Linked DNA regions of Canis lupus familiaris. The protein of the gene in region 2 interacts with the protein of the main gene of each other region in a pairwise test. Links are inferred from orthologs where the notes say so. Each region holds a gene or a part of one and is shown on either strand. Other genes may lie near its edges.

The links.
Region 1: the proteins of BANP (region 2) and ZMIZ2 interact in binary tests that used the Homo sapiens proteins (3 or more experiments, as listed by UniProt). The two-hybrid records come from large-scale screens. The link is inferred for Canis lupus familiaris from reciprocal best matches to the Homo sapiens genes BANP and ZMIZ2.
Region 3: the proteins of BANP (region 2) and SH3RF2 interact in binary tests that used the Homo sapiens proteins (3 or more experiments, as listed by UniProt). The two-hybrid records come from large-scale screens. The link is inferred for Canis lupus familiaris from reciprocal best matches to the Homo sapiens genes BANP and SH3RF2.

The regions. Positions count from the first base shown.
Region 1 is NC_049237.1:14,025,583-14,031,563, forward strand, and holds the start of ZMIZ2 (zinc finger MIZ domain-containing protein 2), read right to left. Parts: upstream 3,845-5,981; 5' UTR 3,788-3,844; intron 3,500-3,787; exon of another isoform or gene 3,416-3,499; intron 2,790-3,415; exon of another isoform or gene 2,768-2,789; intron 2,389-2,767; exon of another isoform or gene 2,248-2,388; intron 1-2,247. UniProt on the Homo sapiens protein: Increases ligand-dependent transcriptional activity of AR and other nuclear hormone receptors.
Region 2 is NC_049226.1:65,737,109-65,742,922, forward strand, and holds the start of BANP (protein BANP), read right to left. Parts: upstream 3,716-5,814; 5' UTR 3,592-3,715; intron 2,991-3,591; exon of another isoform or gene 2,568-2,990; intron 1-2,567. UniProt on the Homo sapiens protein: Controls V(D)J recombination during T-cell development by repressing T-cell receptor (TCR) beta enhancer function. Binds to scaffold/matrix attachment region beta (S/MARbeta), an ATC-rich DNA sequence located upstream of the TCR beta enhancer.
Region 3 is NC_049223.1:39,550,206-39,556,139, reverse strand, and holds the start of SH3RF2 (E3 ubiquitin-protein ligase SH3RF2), read right to left. Parts: upstream 3,845-5,934; 5' UTR 3,691-3,844; intron 2,549-3,690; 5' UTR 2,443-2,548; coding exon 2,065-2,442; intron 1-2,064. UniProt on the Homo sapiens protein: Has E3 ubiquitin-protein ligase activity. Acts as an anti-apoptotic regulator of the JNK pathway by ubiquitinating and promoting the degradation of SH3RF1, a scaffold protein that is required for pro-apoptotic JNK activation.

The DNA of each region.
Region 1 (5,981 bases), on a different chromosome or scaffold from region 2:
TTGCACAGAAATTAACTAGAAACATGCCATAGGTTTAAATGTACGGCGTAAAACCATAGAGCCTTTGGAAACATTCACGAGAAAATCTCTGGGATCTTGCGCTAAGGAAAGTCCTTAAACAGTGCCCCAAAAGCACAGTCCTCAAAGTGGAAAACTGAAAATTTACCTGTGGGAGGCCCTGCTGATGGGACGAAGGGACAAGCCATGTCCCCGGCAAAGGATTAGTATCTAAAATACATAAAGAATTCCCAAAACTCAAAAGACAAAAAAGCTCACCCAGGAAATGGGTGGAAGACAGAGGGACATTTCACTGGCGAGGTCGTGTGGACAGTGAGGCAGCCTGGGGGGGGGGGGCACCATCGAGGCATCGGGAAGGGTGGAGTAAGGCCTCTGAGCCCTCTGAGCCCCCTGAGCCCCTCCCACCGCCCCTCCAGGCTCCGCAGCACAGCAAGGCCGCCACGGAGTGCAGTGAGGATAGACGGCTCCAGCCCTGGGGATACTGGGAATGGACTGCCGTGCAGCCGCTCTGGAAAGTCTGGGGCTTCTCGTAAAACTAAGCAGGCGGCTACTGCCCGGCCCCACAAACTCACTCCCGAACACTCATCTCCCAGAAATGTAAACACGCGTTCACCCAGGAATGTGTGTGTGTGTGCTGCCGGCAGCGTCAGTGGGGACGGCCTGCAGGTGAGGGGCGAGCCCTTCAGGGGCCACCCACAGCCTGGGAGCTTGAGGGGAGGCGGCAGGAAGCCCCAAGAGACCACGCTGCGTGGAGAAAGCCAGTCCCCAAAGGTTACACACGGTAGGATTCCCTTTATGTAACATTCCTGAAATGATGGAATCCCAGAATGAAAAGCAGAGCACAACTGCCAGGTGGGGAGGAGGGAACAGGTGTGAACAGAAGGTGGGGAGGGAGTATCTGCATCTTGACTGGAGCCACGCAGCATCCCGGTGTGACGTTATCCTATCGTATTATAAGATGTCACCACTAGAGTAACCAGGTAAAGGACACACAGTTATTTCTTTCAGCTGCACGTGAATCTTTAATTCCCTCAAAATAAAAGTTTAATGAGAAAACCGCCGCCGCTTGGCCTGTTCTCTCCACTGAAATGCCCAGGGCCACCCTTCCCTACAACAAAGCTGGTGGGGTTGGCCAGGCCCACTCTGTGGTTACAGAAGCAAAGGGTGGGTGGAAGACGAGCCCCTGGCCAGGTGGGGGAGCACCACTGAGGACTCCCGCGGCCCCAGCTCCAGCTCCGGCGCATCACACACAACTGTAGGACTGGAACTGAGGACCCGCATCCCTAACGAGCCTGGGTGAGGATGCTGCCGCTACAGGGACCCCAGGTGGAGAGTGGGGGAGGCAGAGGCTACTGGTCTGGGGCCCCAGGACGACTCCTACATCACATGGGTCGGGGGAATTCCACCCCAAAGGCTGCTCTGCTATGGACGAGACCACAGAGATTTCCAGTTCCCCCTGAGCTGACTGCATGCATGGGTGTCTGGGTGTGCAGGGCGTGTGTGTGTGTGTGTGTGTGTGTGTGTGTGTGTGACTTCCTGCCAAACTAAGTCTGGTCTCCTCCTTGGGGAGACCTGCACTCTCCAAGTTGGGTACCCCATGGCCCTCTGCTCCCGACAAAGGGAGAGCCCTGCTCTGAATGCAAGACCCTCCTCTCACTTCCTGGCCTGAGAGGTACAGCTGGAGAAGCCCTGGTGTGTGTGTGCGTGTGTGCCTGAGTGCACGTGCGCACAAGGAGGCCCGAGCAGGCCTGAGGCGGGGGCCCTTCTGCTGGTCCGAGGCTCTGCTGTCCACAGCTCCAGCGGGAAGCCAGGACCCCTCGGCAGAACCGCCCTGGCACGTGGTTAGCCTGGAGCTTTCTCTGGGTTGGGTCACATCTCCCAGAAAGACGGCTACAGAAACTCGCTACTCAGACCCCCTCCCAGGGCCTCGGAGCAGCTGCACCCAGTCTCCTGGGTGCCAACCACAGGCAGACGTTAATGTGGGTCAGCTCTCTTGCACCTCTCCTCCGTCCCTGCCGCCTGGTCAGCCAGGAGCAGCACACCCCATGACAGGCCACCTGACCTCGGAAAGGCACGCCTGCTCTGTGGTCCTGGGGCAGGCACTCCGGCAGCAGGGAGCCTGTGCTTCCAGGGCACGTGTCCAAGCAGAGGGACACCCAAGTCTGATGGGCTTGGAGAAGGTGGAAATGGTGGCTCAGTGAGGCAGGACGACACAAGGGGGGGACTCACATGCTTGGATGGCTGGAAGTCCTGCTGCTCTCCACGTGAGGCCACAACACCGACCAGCCTAAGTGCTGGAGCCCATCTAAAGCACCCAGGAACGAGCACTTACGAAGGGCCTGGGTGCACAATGGGTACGTGGCAGCCACCCTAGGAAAGCGGAGGACACACACCTGCCATTCTGTGCTCAAACCCTGAGTCCTGTAGTGGACGCAGTGCCAGTGGACACTTCGTGAGGAAGTCGGGCTGTCCCTGGAGTCCTCCCCAGGCGCACCCTGCCTGCCTGTCATTACCTTCCTCCTCCCTGACCTCTGTCCCCTGCCTGTAACCAGCCCCTGGGCATGACCAGTCCTCAGGCCCAGTACCTGCTGGGGGAGGCCAGGCCCCCCTCTCACGAAGCCTGGATGGAGGCCCGAGGGCTCTAGCTCCCCAGGAAGCGGTGGCTGAGTCTGCTCACCCTCCCTGCATCCACCACCGTCCCCCAGATCAAGTCACACGTTCCGTGTATGCCCCTGCGAAACCGACTTACAGACGTGGCTGTGGATGGTCTGCAACCATCAGGAACAGAGCTGGGCAGGGACGGGCGCATCCGGGCCGGAGGGGAGCAAGCAGGAGGGAAAGGAGAGCGGGGCAGGGAGAGAGGCAAACGGGGGTCCTGGGAGAGGGCACCCTCCCGCCCCGGCGACGGCGCGGCTGGGACGAGGGGTGTCCCCTTAGAAACAACGGCGGGAGGCTGAAAGGTCAGCCTGCTCCGCCGGCCTCGGGCGGCCCCGCGGCCCCACGCCGCCCAGCTGGTGGGCGCGCACGGCCCAGAGCCAGCCCGGAGGCGAGCCCGAGCGCGGCGTGGCGGCGGCGCGGCCAGGCGGGGCGAGGGCCCCGGGCCATCCTCCCGGCTCGGGAGGTCGCCGGGGCCGCGCACACCCCTCGGGCGCCCGGCCGGCTTCCAGCCCACCCCAACAAAGGCTCAGGTGAGGGCCGCCCGCGCGCCGGCCGGAGGGCCCGAGAGCACGACGCGCACGCGGCAGGTGCGGCAGGTGGGCGGCGGGGCCGCCTCCACCCCGGCCCGAGCCCGGCAGAGGCGCCGCAGCGCGGGCCCCGAGCGCCGCACCTGCCCGCCGCGCGCACCTGCCGCACCTGCCGCCCCCGCCGCCCGCACCTGTCCACCCGGCCCGCTCACCTCCGCCCGGCCTAGCCCGGCCCCTCGCCGCCGAGGCCCCCGGCCCACGCCGCTCCATGCGCTCAGCCCGCCCTCCGCGCCGCCCGCCGCCGCGGGGCCGCCGCCGCCGCCACCCGCGCCATCGCGCCGCCGCCCGCTCCGAGGGCACAATGGAGCCGCCGCGCCGCTCATGCATATGCATGACGCCGCGCGCCGGCCCCGCCCCCAGGCCAGAGCAGTGGATCCCAGAGCCGGCGCTCGCGCGGGGCGGCCGCGGGCCTGCAGGAGCCCGGGCTGCAGGCCGGGCCGGGGGCGGGCCGGGGGCGGGCCGGGGGCGGGCCGGGCAGCGCCAGCGGCGGCGGACCACCACCGGCGCCCCCGCCCCCTCCACACCTGTCCGAAAGCCGTGTCTGCGGAGTCCCCCGCGCGCCCTGCAGCCTGCCACCGGGGCGGGGCCTGATGGAGGGGCGGGGCCTGGCGGAGCGGCGGGGGCGGGCGGCGGCGACGGGGCCTGCCGATGGGCGGGGCCTGTCAGGGAAGGGTGTCGGAGCCCGGCTAGGGGGCGGGGCCTGGCGGAGGGGGCCCGGTCGAGGGCGGGGGCGGCTGGAGGGGCGGGGCCTGAGTGCGGGCGGGGCGGGTCAGACGGAGGCCGGCCGGAGGACTGGGGGCGCGGGGGCGGGGCGCCAATCTGAGAGAGGCCGGGCGGAGGGGAGGAGCCCGGCTGGGGGCGGGGCCGGCCGGAGGGGCGGGGCCTCCCGGGGAGAGATGGGGCTTTCGGGGGAGGGGAGGGGAGGGGCCTGGCAAAAGGCCGGCCTTCCGGGGGGTAGGGCCTGGCTGAGGGCGGGGCCTCCCGGGGCCGGGGCCGGGGCCGGGGCCGGGGGCCGGGGGCCGGGGGCCGGGGGCCGGGGTCCGGGGTCCGGGAGGGGAGCCGGGCTGGCCGCACGTGCTGCTGCGGTCTCTGGGTCGCTGCGCCCCTTTAGCGGACCAAGCGCCGTTTCTTATCCGCTGGCTCCTCCACGTGCTACTATTACCCTTTAAGTCCTTTTTTCTGCCCTGGCTTTAGGGAGACCATGTTCTTCCAGTCACCCCACAATTCATGTTTTTTACTGTGCCAACTACACGTAAGAAAATGTATTTCAGGGCAGCCCGGGTGGCTCAGCGGTTTAGCGCCGCCTTGAGCCCAGGGCGTGATCCTGGAGCCCCGGGATCTAGTCCCACGTCGGGCTCCCTGCATGGAGCCTGCTTCTTCCTCTGCCAGTGTCTCTCTCTGTCTCTCATGAATAAATAAATAAAATCTTAAAAAAAAAAAAAAAAGAAAAGAAAGAACGAAAAGAAAGAAAAGAAAGAAAATATTTATGGTGCCAAGATCTTCCTCCAGGCTACAGTTCATTATGAGCATAGGATAGTATCTTAACTGGGCCCCTCGGTGGCTAAGTGTCTGCCTTTGGCTCAGGTCATGGTCCTGGGGTCCTGGGATCCAGCCCTGGGTCTGGCTCCTGGCTGGGTGGGGAGTCTGCTTCTCTCTCTGCTCCTCCCCCCGCTCACGCTCTCTTTGTCAAATAAATAAATGAAATCTTAAAAGAAAAAAGAAAAAAAAAGGAAAGTACCTTTACAAGAAAGATGCCCATCAGACACCACCTGGCCCAAAGGACCAAGTCAGCATGACCCTGTGTGGGACCCAATAATGTCTGTGCCCCTGGCGAGATGTCCAAGAAAGGACGCAGAGCCCCTCCTCCCCGCCTAAGTGGAAGTGACAACCATAAAGTTTTTACCTGGATCTACTCAAGACAAAGCCACACAGGGGGTAGCCTCCAGAGCTGGCCTGGATTGGAGAACTGCAGAAGCCTGGCTGGGGGAAGGGTCAGAGGAGACCAGGGATCCCAGGCCCCAGCTCGTAAGGCAGGCTGGACGTGGCAGGCTGAGTGCAGGCCACAGGGGGTGGGCTCCCCAGTGTGGCACCCTGGGGACCCGGGGGGGTTGCCCTGGTATTTGGGAGGCATCTGGGGCAGTGTCCAAGGGGGCAGCACCGGGGCGGGGGGGGGGGGCATGGGGGCAGCCAGGGCTCCCGCAGTGACACCAAGCCGGCGAAGCTCGAGGGCACACATCAAGGAGTGTGTAGGGCCTGGCAGCAGCTCAGGAAGTGTCTCTCCAGGGGCAGGAAGGAAATGCCCCCAATCGGGACAAGATCGTGTCATCTGTGAACGTGTATAAACGATCCTATAAACGATCTAAAATCCTTTCAAATACTGCTGACGGCCCACCTTCTCCACAGGTGTGTGATGAGCTGCATCTTCGGCAGCAGGGACCCCAAACAGTCGGGCAGGGGGCGCCATGGGGTTTTGGGGTCCCCAAGGCTGTGCTGAGGGCCACACGGGGAGCCCCTGTCGGACGGGCTCGGGGTGCAGGGTGGCCTAGCTTCTCCTCCAGGATCTACCGGGCCCCGGAGGCGGGGGGATTGGGAAGTCGGGATGCTAGTCCCGGGGCCCACATGATGGTCACTGTGATGAGGACAGTCACTGCGATGGGGCAGCAGCCTAGGGACCGGCCCTCTGCACTCCCTGCTCTACATCAACAATCCTGGATACTT
Region 2 (5,814 bases):
TGTATCACACTGGGGTACGTGATATCATATGTCTTATTACTGGTGATGTTAAGGTGGTATTTGTAGGTTTTTCCACTGTGAAGTTACCATTTTTCCCTTTGTAATTTATAAATATCTTTAGAGAGATACTTTGGGGCTATGTAAAGATCACAGATTGGAGACTTCAGGAGACATGACAACTAAATGCAGAGTGGGATCCTGGATTAGATCCTGAAACAGAAAAAGGATATTAATGGAAAACTTACGAAATTCAGTTAAGTCTGTACTTTAGTTAACAGTACTGTGCCGATGTTAATTTCCTGATTTTCATATGGATATCTGGTTATGTAAGAAGTCAGCATTACGGGAAGCGGGTGACGGGAACAGGGAAGCTCTGTGAACTATTTTTGCAACTTTTCTGTAAATCTAAAATTAAAAGTCTCAAAATTAAAAGTTTACAAAGCTGCAGATTCTGATCCCATGTCTGGTGGGGGCCTGAGAGTTTGCCTTTCTCTCAAACACCCAGTGATGGTAATGTCACTGGCCCATGAACCACCTCATGTGAGCCTTGCTAGGCCCTGACAGATATAGCTGACATATTTCACTGTACACAACTTTCGAAGGACAGCTGACTAAAATGCACCAAGATTACACTTCATGTACAGTAATCACTGCTTAACTAGAGGCGATCCTTAAACTTGGCACACTGAAGTGCTACCTTAGTACAATGACATGGTATAAGAAGCCAGTGTGATAAGACAACCTTAAGAGTCTGAAATCACAACCTTTGCTACACTTGTCTATGGTTGGCCTTCCCCAGCTGAGCTTGGCATGCCTCCAAGGCTGCAGAGCCAGAACCTCCAGGAGGAACACACGACATCCGCCCACACTGCAACGCGGAGATGACCACGGGGACAATGCTCAGGGCATCGGTTCCACTGACGGATGGCATCCATTACCAAGAGAGGCAGCAGAGCAGAAAGACAAGAACGGGCTCTGTAATTCCTGCTCACAAGGAGCAACTTGCCACAAAGGTGATCTCTGCTCATCCCATTAAATTAATTTTTAATTGCATATAACAATCCCACAAGAAAGAAAATATGACACAGACAAGATACTTTGCAAATTTCTGGGAGACTGATAGGATCTAATGGAGGCAAAGGAAACCACAATCTGGGGCATACAGGAGTGGGTACAGCCAAAGTGGGTAAGCCTGTGGCAGGCCAGAACACTCAGCAGAGCACAGGCCGTTTCTGCTCACACCCTCCCTAGACCAGGTAGACCAATCCCAAATCAAAGGGATCTGGTCTTAAGCTGTAAGACCCACAGAAAAAGTCTCTGCAATCTGGCACTCAAAGTCCCACACAGTAACAAGTTCCCAATGACTTGAGGGGAGACCCACACATTTTCAAAACCAGCCCCACAGACTCAGAGCTCTCTGCCCATTTCCTCTTGCTTTAAACAACAATTACCAATATTTAAGGAATATTTGCCACATGAAGTATGAAGCCAATATTTTTTAAAAGGCAACAATGGCACTAGAGGAAATAAGAAATCAAAGAACAAAAGAATTGAAAAAAATCCCATGTTGGTATCCTCAAAATCAAGAATATGTTCACAAGTAGCTACTGGGGGGGGGGGGGGGGCGGGGAGAACACATAAGTTTTTGATCAATTTTCAACTGTGGAAATAAAAAATTTTAAACAGGATTGGAAGATAACTTGAAGCCCTCTCCCAAAAAAGAGAAGAAAATGACAAAAGAGGATAAAGACACAAGATTCAGTGGGTCAATCCAAGATGTCCATCATCAAAATAAAAGAGTAAATGCAGGGGAAATTGTCAGATACAAGAGGATTTCCCAGAGCTGAAGGGCAAGCGCCCAGAAGCACTGAACATCCACAGTGAGACTCCACATCCTAGGGCACTCTGGAAATGTCCTAACACCAAAGCGGATTGTAAGGAGTTACTCAAAACGAATAAGACTATTTGGCAGAAATGATATTGAAATGAAGAAAGCCAAGATTAAAACATGGAATCCTGTACAAACTGGGATGTATAATAAAGGAAAATATCAGAAGAATACTTGTACTGGCCTGAGTAATCAATCCAGATTAGAAAAAGAGGACAGAGGGCTGAGGAGGATGGGGGGGAGGGAGGAGTGGGGAGTTGGAGAGATGACCTTATCCCTTGATAATTTACAACGTAAAGAGTCAATGGGAACAGAGAATGCAAAGAAAAAGAAAGGCCACTACAAACAACAGAAAAAAACAGAAAGCTGTAGAAGTGAAAAACAGTATTTGCTCGGTCTTAAACAATCTGAGTCAAGTGAACACAGTGAATTAAGGGGATAGAAAAGGTGGGATATGATAGGAAGGGCTCAATCATCGTATGATAACAGAATGTCAACAATGTGTAAGACTAATAAAATACCAAGGTACTCTCCAGAGCTACGGAGACCTTCCCCAAGAGCAAAAAGATGTTAAGTCTTTGAGGAGTAAGACGGGGCTGTTGCTCTTCAACCTAAGTTTTCCCCTGAGGGTTTACCGTGTGCATGACTGCTAGATGTATTATTATTTAAGAGCACGGACCTCGGAGAGAGGAGTTCAAGGCCTTGGCTCCCCGCGTCTTGGACGAGTGTCCTAACCCCGGTGGCCGGTCACCTCTCTAGATGGCTGCGATGAGAAGCCCTGGGAGTGGTCCGCAGGCCCAGCCACAGCACAGAGCGCGGGCACGGCAGCCACTTCCAGACCCTAAGGCCACGGGATGTCCACGGAATCCAACATCCTGAGCACATGTTCTCACTTTAGTGCAACACAAGGGAGAACGAAGCTAAACAGAGACGACTCATCTCGGGGGCTGTTCCGCGGTCTCCCCGCCGCTAGATCCTCCAGATCCTCTAGATCCTCGTATGCAGGGCGGTCCGGAAGCGGAGTAATGGGCGGGCGGTCCCCCGGGTCCCTCACCTGGGGCGACCCCTGGACTACCCCGACCTTGGCGAGGCCGGGGGGTGCAGCCGGTGCAGAGGGCGCCAGGGGCGGCCAGCCCCGAGCCCCCCGAGCCCCCCGGCAGCCCCCGAGCCCCCGCGTCCTCGAGGAGCGCCCGGTGCAGGGCGCCCACCGGGGGCGGGGCGGGGCGGGGGTCTCGAGGCAAACCCCAGGCCGCACTCCCCAAGCCTGAGCGCTCCCCTCCCCTCCCCTCCCCTCCCCGTGAGCCCTCGGCCCCGCGGGGCGGGCACACCGGGCGCAGGGCGGCCTGCCCGCGGGCCCCGGGCGCCGACTGACAGGGGAGGCCTGTGCCCGGGTCCGTCCGGGGCGCGGCGCGGGGCCCTCGCGGGGGGCGGGGGCGGCTGGCGGGGGCGGCGGCGGCGGCGGCGGCCGGGGGAGCCAGAGCGGGCGGGGAGGGCGCCGGGAGCGGGGCGCGCCGGCGGGGCCGAAGGCGGCGGGCCGTTGGGCGGCCGCGCAGGGCGTCCCGGGCGGGGGCGGCGGGCGCGGGCGCGGCGGCCGGAGGAGGGCGCAGGGAGGAGGGAGGAGGGGAGATCTCGCTCTCGCTCTCGCTCTCGCCCCGCGGGAAGGGGGAGGTGGAGACGCGACCGGCTGCGGGAGCTGCAATTACCGTGTGGGCTGCGGAATTCTCGTGGTGTTTGTCGGGGAGATGCGATAATGGCGTCCGTCCTCGCGAGAGAAGCCGCCGCTCTGCGCAGGCGCCGCGAGTCCCTCCCCGCGGCCCTCCGCCCCGCCCCGTCTGCGCAGGCTCCTCACGCGGGGCGCGCCGGGCCCGGGGACCGGGCCAGGGGGCGGGGCCTGCCGCTCCAGGCCTCCCGCGCGCGCCTTCGCCGGCGCCGGCGACCGCCGAGCATGCGCACGCGTCGTCCGGCCGCGCCACGGTTGGGGCCTGGAATCTTTCCTTTCCCGGCGCGCGCTCCGTCTCCTCGCTAGCCCCGTGAGAAGTCGCGTCGGTGGACCGCGAGAGGAATTTACGTTTCTTCAGAGGCTGAATGAATAGGAATTAGGTGCGCGCGACGACTACATATCCCGGAGGGCTCTGCGCGAGCCGCGAGCTGAGGTTCCTGGGAATCGTAGTCCCGGCGTGTGCGCCAAGCCTGCTGGTACTTGTAGTCTCTCCGGACTCCGGCCTCCCGTCGGCGCCCGCGCCCGCCACTGCTGGGACTTGTAGTTGGAGACGGGGGGCCTGAGGCCGCTGCGACTCCGAAGGGGTGCCCCCGAGTAATAGCTGGTGCTCCGGGTCCCCGGAGTCTGACCACACTTCCCAGGGCTCACGCGTGGGGGAAAATGTGTGTTCGTGGTGTGACCTGTCCCGTGTGGAAGTAATCTCTGTGTGTGCGTATGTACACGAACATGCGGTGTGCATGTGGCTGTGTTACACGTGTGTAGCATAAGTGCTGGTCTGTTGGTGCTCGTGGGGAAAAACCACTGGCTGTACACACCATCCGGCAATGTTACTCCTGCTCACTGGTATCACTGTTGCTCTTCTTGTGCGTTGGGGTTACCCTGCTTTTTGTTTTCTTCTTTACACTTGCCTTTGTTTTCTGAGTTGTTTACAACGGGCAAGAATTTCTTCGGTCGTCCAAAAACAAGACTGTGGAGCTATTTTCATTTGGAAAAGAAAATGCTCTACTGTTTCTGTAACTTTCCTGCCTACTTCCCTTTTTGCCGATGATAAAAACCTGATTCTTGGAGGCAGTAACGAGCTGCTTGCCCTTGGGCAACCTTGCTAGTAATAGTCTCTTCCAGAATGCACACTTGGGGGATCTACCGAGGCTGATCTTTGGCTTAGCTTTACAGGAAAGGTGCCTTGAAGAAATTACAGAGAACAATCACAGAAGATCGGTGCTGGAAAAGATGCTCGCATTGAAATGAGAATTGTCCTGGGAGGAAGGGAAATTGCTCAGCAAGGTCACACTGCTGGAAGAAGACAAAACCAGGGTTTAGAAACCAAAACACTCTGGTCTAGAGTGTGCTCATAGTGGGGAAGAGGATGGCAGAAGCTAAACGTGCAAATCCTGAGAGATAAGTGAGGGCAATGTCTTCTATCCCCACCTCTGCCTCAACCGTAGCCAAAACTAAACACTTAACTAAGAATTCTTAACATGGACATGCAAATATCTGAGTACAGAGTAGATAAATGTAGACTGATCTTTTTGTTTTTGTTTTGTTTTTTTGTTTTGTTTTGTTTTTTGTAGACTGATCTTTTTCATGTTATTTCAAAATCTCAACAAAGCTTTTGTCTGTAGCTCTGTTGTGGATATGGGTTGCTGGCTCCTTCCTGGCGAGGCCTAGCACACTACTGGGTTCTATACCAGTGCTAAGTCATCATCAGGAATTAAGCCAATCAAAATTATAATTATACTTATGCCAGAGTCATGGACTTCTCTTTTACGTTTTTGATTATTCAGATTAATTTATTTTTCATTTTGCTGCCCAGAAAGCTCAAATAGAGGAGAATGTTACTTTGTATTGACATCTAGCTGATTAGCCATGGTTTTAAAAATAATTCAATATCTGGAAACTGACAAAGACAGTTATCTACCAATGGAGGGTTTCTTCTTTATTGCAGAGGGTCCTCTTCCTTGCCCGTCAATCCATACAAGGATCCAGTCCAGGAATGTCTGGGTGCTCAGTGGGTTGAACATCTGACTCTTGATTTCAGCTCAAGTCATGATCTCAGGGTTGTGCAATTAAGTTCCACATCCACTGCTTTAGATTCTCTCTCTGCCCCTCCCATTCTCTCTCTCCCTCTCAAAGAAAAAAAAAAATCCAGTTCAGTTCTGGAGTTAATGAGACTGGTGTCACATTAGTGGGGGATTTATGACTTTAC
Region 3 (5,934 bases), on a different chromosome or scaffold from region 2:
AGCCACTGAAAGGAGTATTTTAGAAAAGTGTCCTGACTGCACATCATAAGCCTATTCTCCAGTGCGGGAAGGAATCTGCGAAGACCCTCCCACCCACTGTTACTCTTCACAACAGAGTTGGGGGGACTCTGCTGTTAGATTTAAAGCTGTTCAACACCAAAGAAACGAACAATCCAATCATGAAATGGGCAAAAGACATGAAGAGAAATCTCACAGAGGAAGACATAGACATGGCCAACATGCACATGAGAAAATGCTCTGCATCACCTGCCATCAGGGAAATACAAATCAAAACCACAATGAGATACCACCTCACACCAGTGAGAATGGGAAACATTAACAAGGCAGGAAACCACAAATGTTGGAGAGGATGTGGAGAAAAGGGAACCCTCTTACACTGTTGGTGGGAATGTGAAAGGGTGCAGCCACTCTGGAAAACTGTGTGGAGGTTCCTCAAAGAGTTAAAAATAGACCTGCCCTATGACCCAGCAATTGCACTGTTGGGGATTTACCCCAAAGATTCAGATGCAATGAAATGCCGGGACACCTGCACCCCGATGTTTCTAGCAGAAATGTCCACAATAGCCAAACTGTGGAAGGAGCCTCGGTGTCCATGGAAAGATGAATGGATAAAGAAGCTGTGGTTTATGTATACAATGGAATATTCCTCAGCCATTAGAAACGACAAATACCCACCATTTGCTTCAACGTGGGTGGAACTGGAGGGTATGATGCTGAGTGAAGTAAGTCAATCGGAGAAGGACAAACAGTGTATGTTCTCATTCATTTGGGGAATATAAATAATAGTGAAAAGGATTAGAAGGGAAGGGAGAAGAAATGTGTGGGAAATATCAGAAAGGGAGACAGAACATAAAGACTCCTAACTCTGGGAAACAAATTAGGGGTGGTGGAAGGGGAGGAGGGCGGGGGGTGGGGGTGAATGGGTGACGGGCACTGAGGGGGGCACTTGATGGGATGAGCACTGGGTGTTATTCTGTATGTTGGTAAATTGAACACCAATAAAAAATAAATTTATTAAAAAAATAAATAAATTAAAAAGAATAATGAAATGTAAAAAAAAAAAAAGCTGTTCACTTTAGGTAAGACTTCACAGAAGGCAGCCTTGACTTTCTAAGTATGCCAGTAACCCAGGTCACAGCTTTCTGTGTCTGCTCTGACACACTGACTCCTGGGGTGACAGTGCACATAATCCTGCTGGACTCACAAGGACTGCGTCCCTCCTCTCAAGATGTGTCCTTAACACAGCTTCCCACAAAAGGCTTGCAGCAAGGTCAGATAGAGTCCTCAGGATCCAATCGCATGGCTGGATAGAATGATTCGCGTTATCCAAACACCAAAAGAGTTCCTATGATCTCCTGTGCACCACTGCCGGGCCTTTGTGGTTATGGCAGCCACCGAGGTGCATTTTATGTATGTTTGATTCATTTTGTAGAGTTAGACATCTGCAGGGCTCCTGTACACACGTGTTGTACTTCACAGCCCAGCCTTCCTATCAATCAGTCCACCCACAGATATGCTTTCCTCCTGCACAGTCTTTGGGTGTTCAAGTATCTTGATAACTTCGAACAGATCATGAATGAGCACTGTCATAATAGCACTTCAGGACTGGAGGTGGGAAGATGGAGTTGGGTAAAATTAAAACAAAACCTGACATTTAACTTCTCAAAGATCTCAAAAGCAAAAAGCAGCTGGATTTGTTTTCTCTTTTTCCCCCTCCTCTGCACATTTCCTGTGCACTGGTTTGGCCTCAAATAGCAGAAGTGAAAGGTGAAAAATAATCACGAAGGCTTTCTTTGTGCTAGTACCTTCTAGACAAGCAGCACGGGGAGACCTCAACAATTCTAAGAATTTCTGGATGGATAAGATAGGCTCAGGATTCCACCAAGTTTCAGTAAAATGATCCCTGCCCATAGAAACTTCTCTCTGGGGAATCACTGGCAGCACTCATTGAAATGTAACTATAGGAAGATAATTCCTAGCTGCTGGTATACACAAATCCAACCTCCAAAGGGACACAATACGAACAAATAAGATCTTTCTTACCCCATCCATGTGGATTCTGATATTAGGCACCAGTCGGAAAGGGCTGGACTGCAGACCTCTGGGGTCAGTCCTGCTTTTCCTGCTGTCCTGCGAGGTCAGCACACCAGGCCTGCGGAAGGAGCCCCCTCTTCCAGAGCTCTGCCCTGAGCGCACACCATCTAGAAGACGCACGAGCAGCAGGTTGGCTGGCAGAGCTTCGATGCTGCAAAACACCAGGGTCCTGCATTCGGGGCACCTCAGCTCCTTGTGAGCCTTGAAAATCCTCTGGAGACATGGTTTGCAGAAGGTGTGCTGGCAAGGGAGGACTTTGGCTGTGACGTCGAGCTTTTCAAAGCACACGGGGCACTCCAGAAGATCAAGTAACGTCAAATCATCCATTTTATTTTAAAACTCCAATCCTGATCTGGAGGGGCAAAGTCTGCATGGTAGGGTGAGCTGAGCCAAGGAGGCAGATCCAGTCTCTTGGGAGTGTCAGAATTCCTGCCTGTGTGAATGAGAAAGGAAGAGATGAAGAAAATGGGACTGCTCTGAGAGGTATATCCCACCTACATGGAGGCAGTGTCTCATAAGGCAGTTTGCAAGTACTTTGTTCCAGCACCCAAGTTTCAAATGACTCATTCTGATTCAGTGCTAGCAGGTATGAGGCTCAACTCCTGCCTGCTGGAGGATCTCAGGGAGCATTCTCCATGGTGACTGACTACTTACTCATTGCTTCTGTGTGTGGAAGCAAGAGCAAGGAGACAAAACTGGCTGGTTGAGGTGGCCTGAGGGCTCAAAGGGGGTTCTTTTCCCCACCAATCAGTTTCAGTTCTCACATCAAGGGCCCCCCCAAAATGCAATTTCTGTGAAGTCATCTAGTCCTCCTTCTTCCCCTAGGTTTATCTGTTATCTGCAGAACAGACAAGTTTATATAGACAAGTTTATCTGAATCTCATGCAGATGTAGGATTAGCTCCTTCATTATGCATCTTCCCCCATTAGTTTGTTCTAGCAACATATGAGAAAAAGTTCTATGAGAAACACATTTTCAAAAACTGTTTGCCTTAACCACAGGCCAGGATGCTTGGAAGCTTTTTCCCCCCCTCCTTCTCTCCTTTCGTCCCTCCCTCCATCCCTTTCTTCCTTCTTTTCTCCCCCCTTCTCTCCCCTGATTATTCTAGCCTCAGAGACAAGATTCCTCCCACAGGGTGAAGTCACACAGCCTGTTTAGTTACTTTGACAAGTGTTCTCAGTTTCATCTGAAACAGATCCCAATTCTGGATTGTGGTCACAACCAAAAAAAATCAAGATGGAACAATGTATACAGGTGTGAGTATGTGTGTGTGTGTGTGTGTGTGTGTGTGTGGTCTGAAAACATCCTTATTCCAGAAAGTTTCCTTTTAGACGTCTGAAAAGAGGTGTCCAGTTGAAAGAGGTCTCCCAGGAAGAGGTCACCTGTCCCTCACAAATGCCAAAATTGTGCACAGCAGCCCCAGAGGTTTGGGAGGTTCAGCCCAAGGGCGGGTGGCCCGCCAGTAAGCAAAGCAGACATGACACACCAGGAGGAGAGAGGGCGCCTTGCCTTCCTGAGACAACTCTCCCAAGGCGTCAGTTCTGGGGAGATGTGTGTGTGTGGGGGGGCACTAACCTTGAGCACAGAACCCCAGCTGAGTTCAGCTCAGCGCGATCCTCCATCCTCGGCTTGGCCAGGCTCCCTCCAACTCGCTTCCTTTTCCCCAAGAGCCGCTGCCGCGCTTTGAAAACTTTAACAACTCTGAGTCTTACTCATTTCAAGGATCGCCTTACTCAGCCCTGTTAACGCTTTCACTGCCTGGCAGGCAGCAGCGCTTTTCTCGGGAGTTCACCCTCTGCTGCCCATCGTTCCTTTGTGTAACTGAGTTGATTTCTGGGAAAAGATTAGAAGGGACAAAATATAAGCCAGCCCCTAAGGCTAAATATTTGCAGTTGATATTTTCACTTTTCTCATTTTGTCTCCTATCCCAGAAGTTGAAACATGCTCGGTTTATAAACATGCCAAGGTGACTGTGTGTATTTTAAACCTTTATAAGGATTTGCTGAAAAGGTCAAACATATTAACGGTAGCTATAACAGAGATAAGCCCGCCACCTAAAAAGTACTTCTCCTTGAAAAGCAGTCAGTCCTTGAATTTGTACATTTGAGACGGACCTTTAGTGATCTCTTTTGCTCAATCTCTTTAAATTAAAAAAAAAATCGTATCATGGTAGTACATGTACACCTTTGAAAAATCACAGCACAGAAGGGTTTTGAAGAAGGAATGGTTTCAGTCTCTCTCCCTGCCCCATGCTTGCTGGAATCTTTCCATAGCTCCAAATAATGCTAATACTTTGATGTCTTGATTTATCTGTAACACATTTCATGTAAAGTTACATAGTTATTCCATAAAGTAAATACTCATGATAATCTTACCCCAGAGTAGCCCTTATCTGTGCTAAGCACTGTTCTACTTTACCTATATAACTCAATCCTGTTAGTAAGCCAGTAATACACTATACTCTTCTTTACCCTCATTTGCAAATAAGGAAACTGAGACACAGAGAGGTTAAATAACCCATTCCAGGAGTCACAGCCAGCAAGAGACAGGTGTTCCGTGCTCCGTACTACCATGTCCTATGGTGATACAGCTTTAAGGGGAGGAGATGGTTGGAGGGAGCTAAACTGCATCTGGGGATGGCAGGAAGTCAAAAGATAATGACCCAAGCTGACCAATCAACTTCCCTTGCAGATGAGCTGTGCCCAGAGAGATCAAGAGATTCCTTCAAGTTGCCCAGTAAGTTAGGGGCAGAACTGGGACTAGAAACTGGTATTCTTTTTTTTTTTTTTTTAAACTAAATCTCTTCTTTCAACTTAAGGATGACAGTTCTTTATGATGCAGAAAGCACTTAGCTACAGCTCCATGGGAATATCTTAAGAGGGGACCAAGACGCCAGATAACAGGTGGTGGCGGATTACATGTTTTACAAAATTTTTCCATGTTATTTCTGAAAAAGAAAAGATGCATGGAGCTCACAACAGAGGAGAGCATTAGGATGCAGCAGATGAAGTCATCTGTCCTCTGAGCACAGAGACCTGATTTGAGTACATGCCAATTTCAGAAACCATTTTCAACTCTTTTTCTCATCTCTCTTTATGAAGGTTTTTTTGGGCTTCCACAACATCAAATCCAATTCTGTTGCCTGTTCTCCTTCAATTAATTTCCACTTTTATAAATTCTATGCTCATCAGGAAGTCTCTTATCTGAGGCCCTTTGCTGTCCCTTACTTTTTCCCACTTGGTAAAGCTGAGCCCTCTCCTCTGTGAGCTGCTCTGCAAACCCCTCACCCTCTAGAAAGGTCTGCTCCAGTGCTATAACTCCTGCTGCAGAGGTGAACAACATCCTTCCTCTTTCCCTCTCTTGTTCTTAAACATATTCTACCTCCCTTAGATGCCCAAATTTGCACCACATGAACATGGACACACATACTTGCATAAAGACAAAAGCACACATAACCTTAAGAGTAACATTTGCGAAGTACTTGCTATATATCATGGACCAGTGCTAAGAGTTTAAACAGATTATTTCATTAAATCTTCCCAACCACCCAATAAGGTAGGTGCCATAACTTTCTTAGGATTACAAAGCTTCTGATCTGAACCCAGGCTGGCCCAATCCCAGGGGCTGTGTTCCTTTCCATTATTGCTTCCCACATTATAAAGTCCTGGACGTGCCGTAAGTATACCCATATCTCTTTATTGTGTAAATCCATTCACATTTATATATGTCCATATGTACACACCAGCTGATCTCAGAGCCAACCTAAAACAAAATGATACAAAATGCCCAGTCTCATGCACTTCCATGCCATTGCGTGAC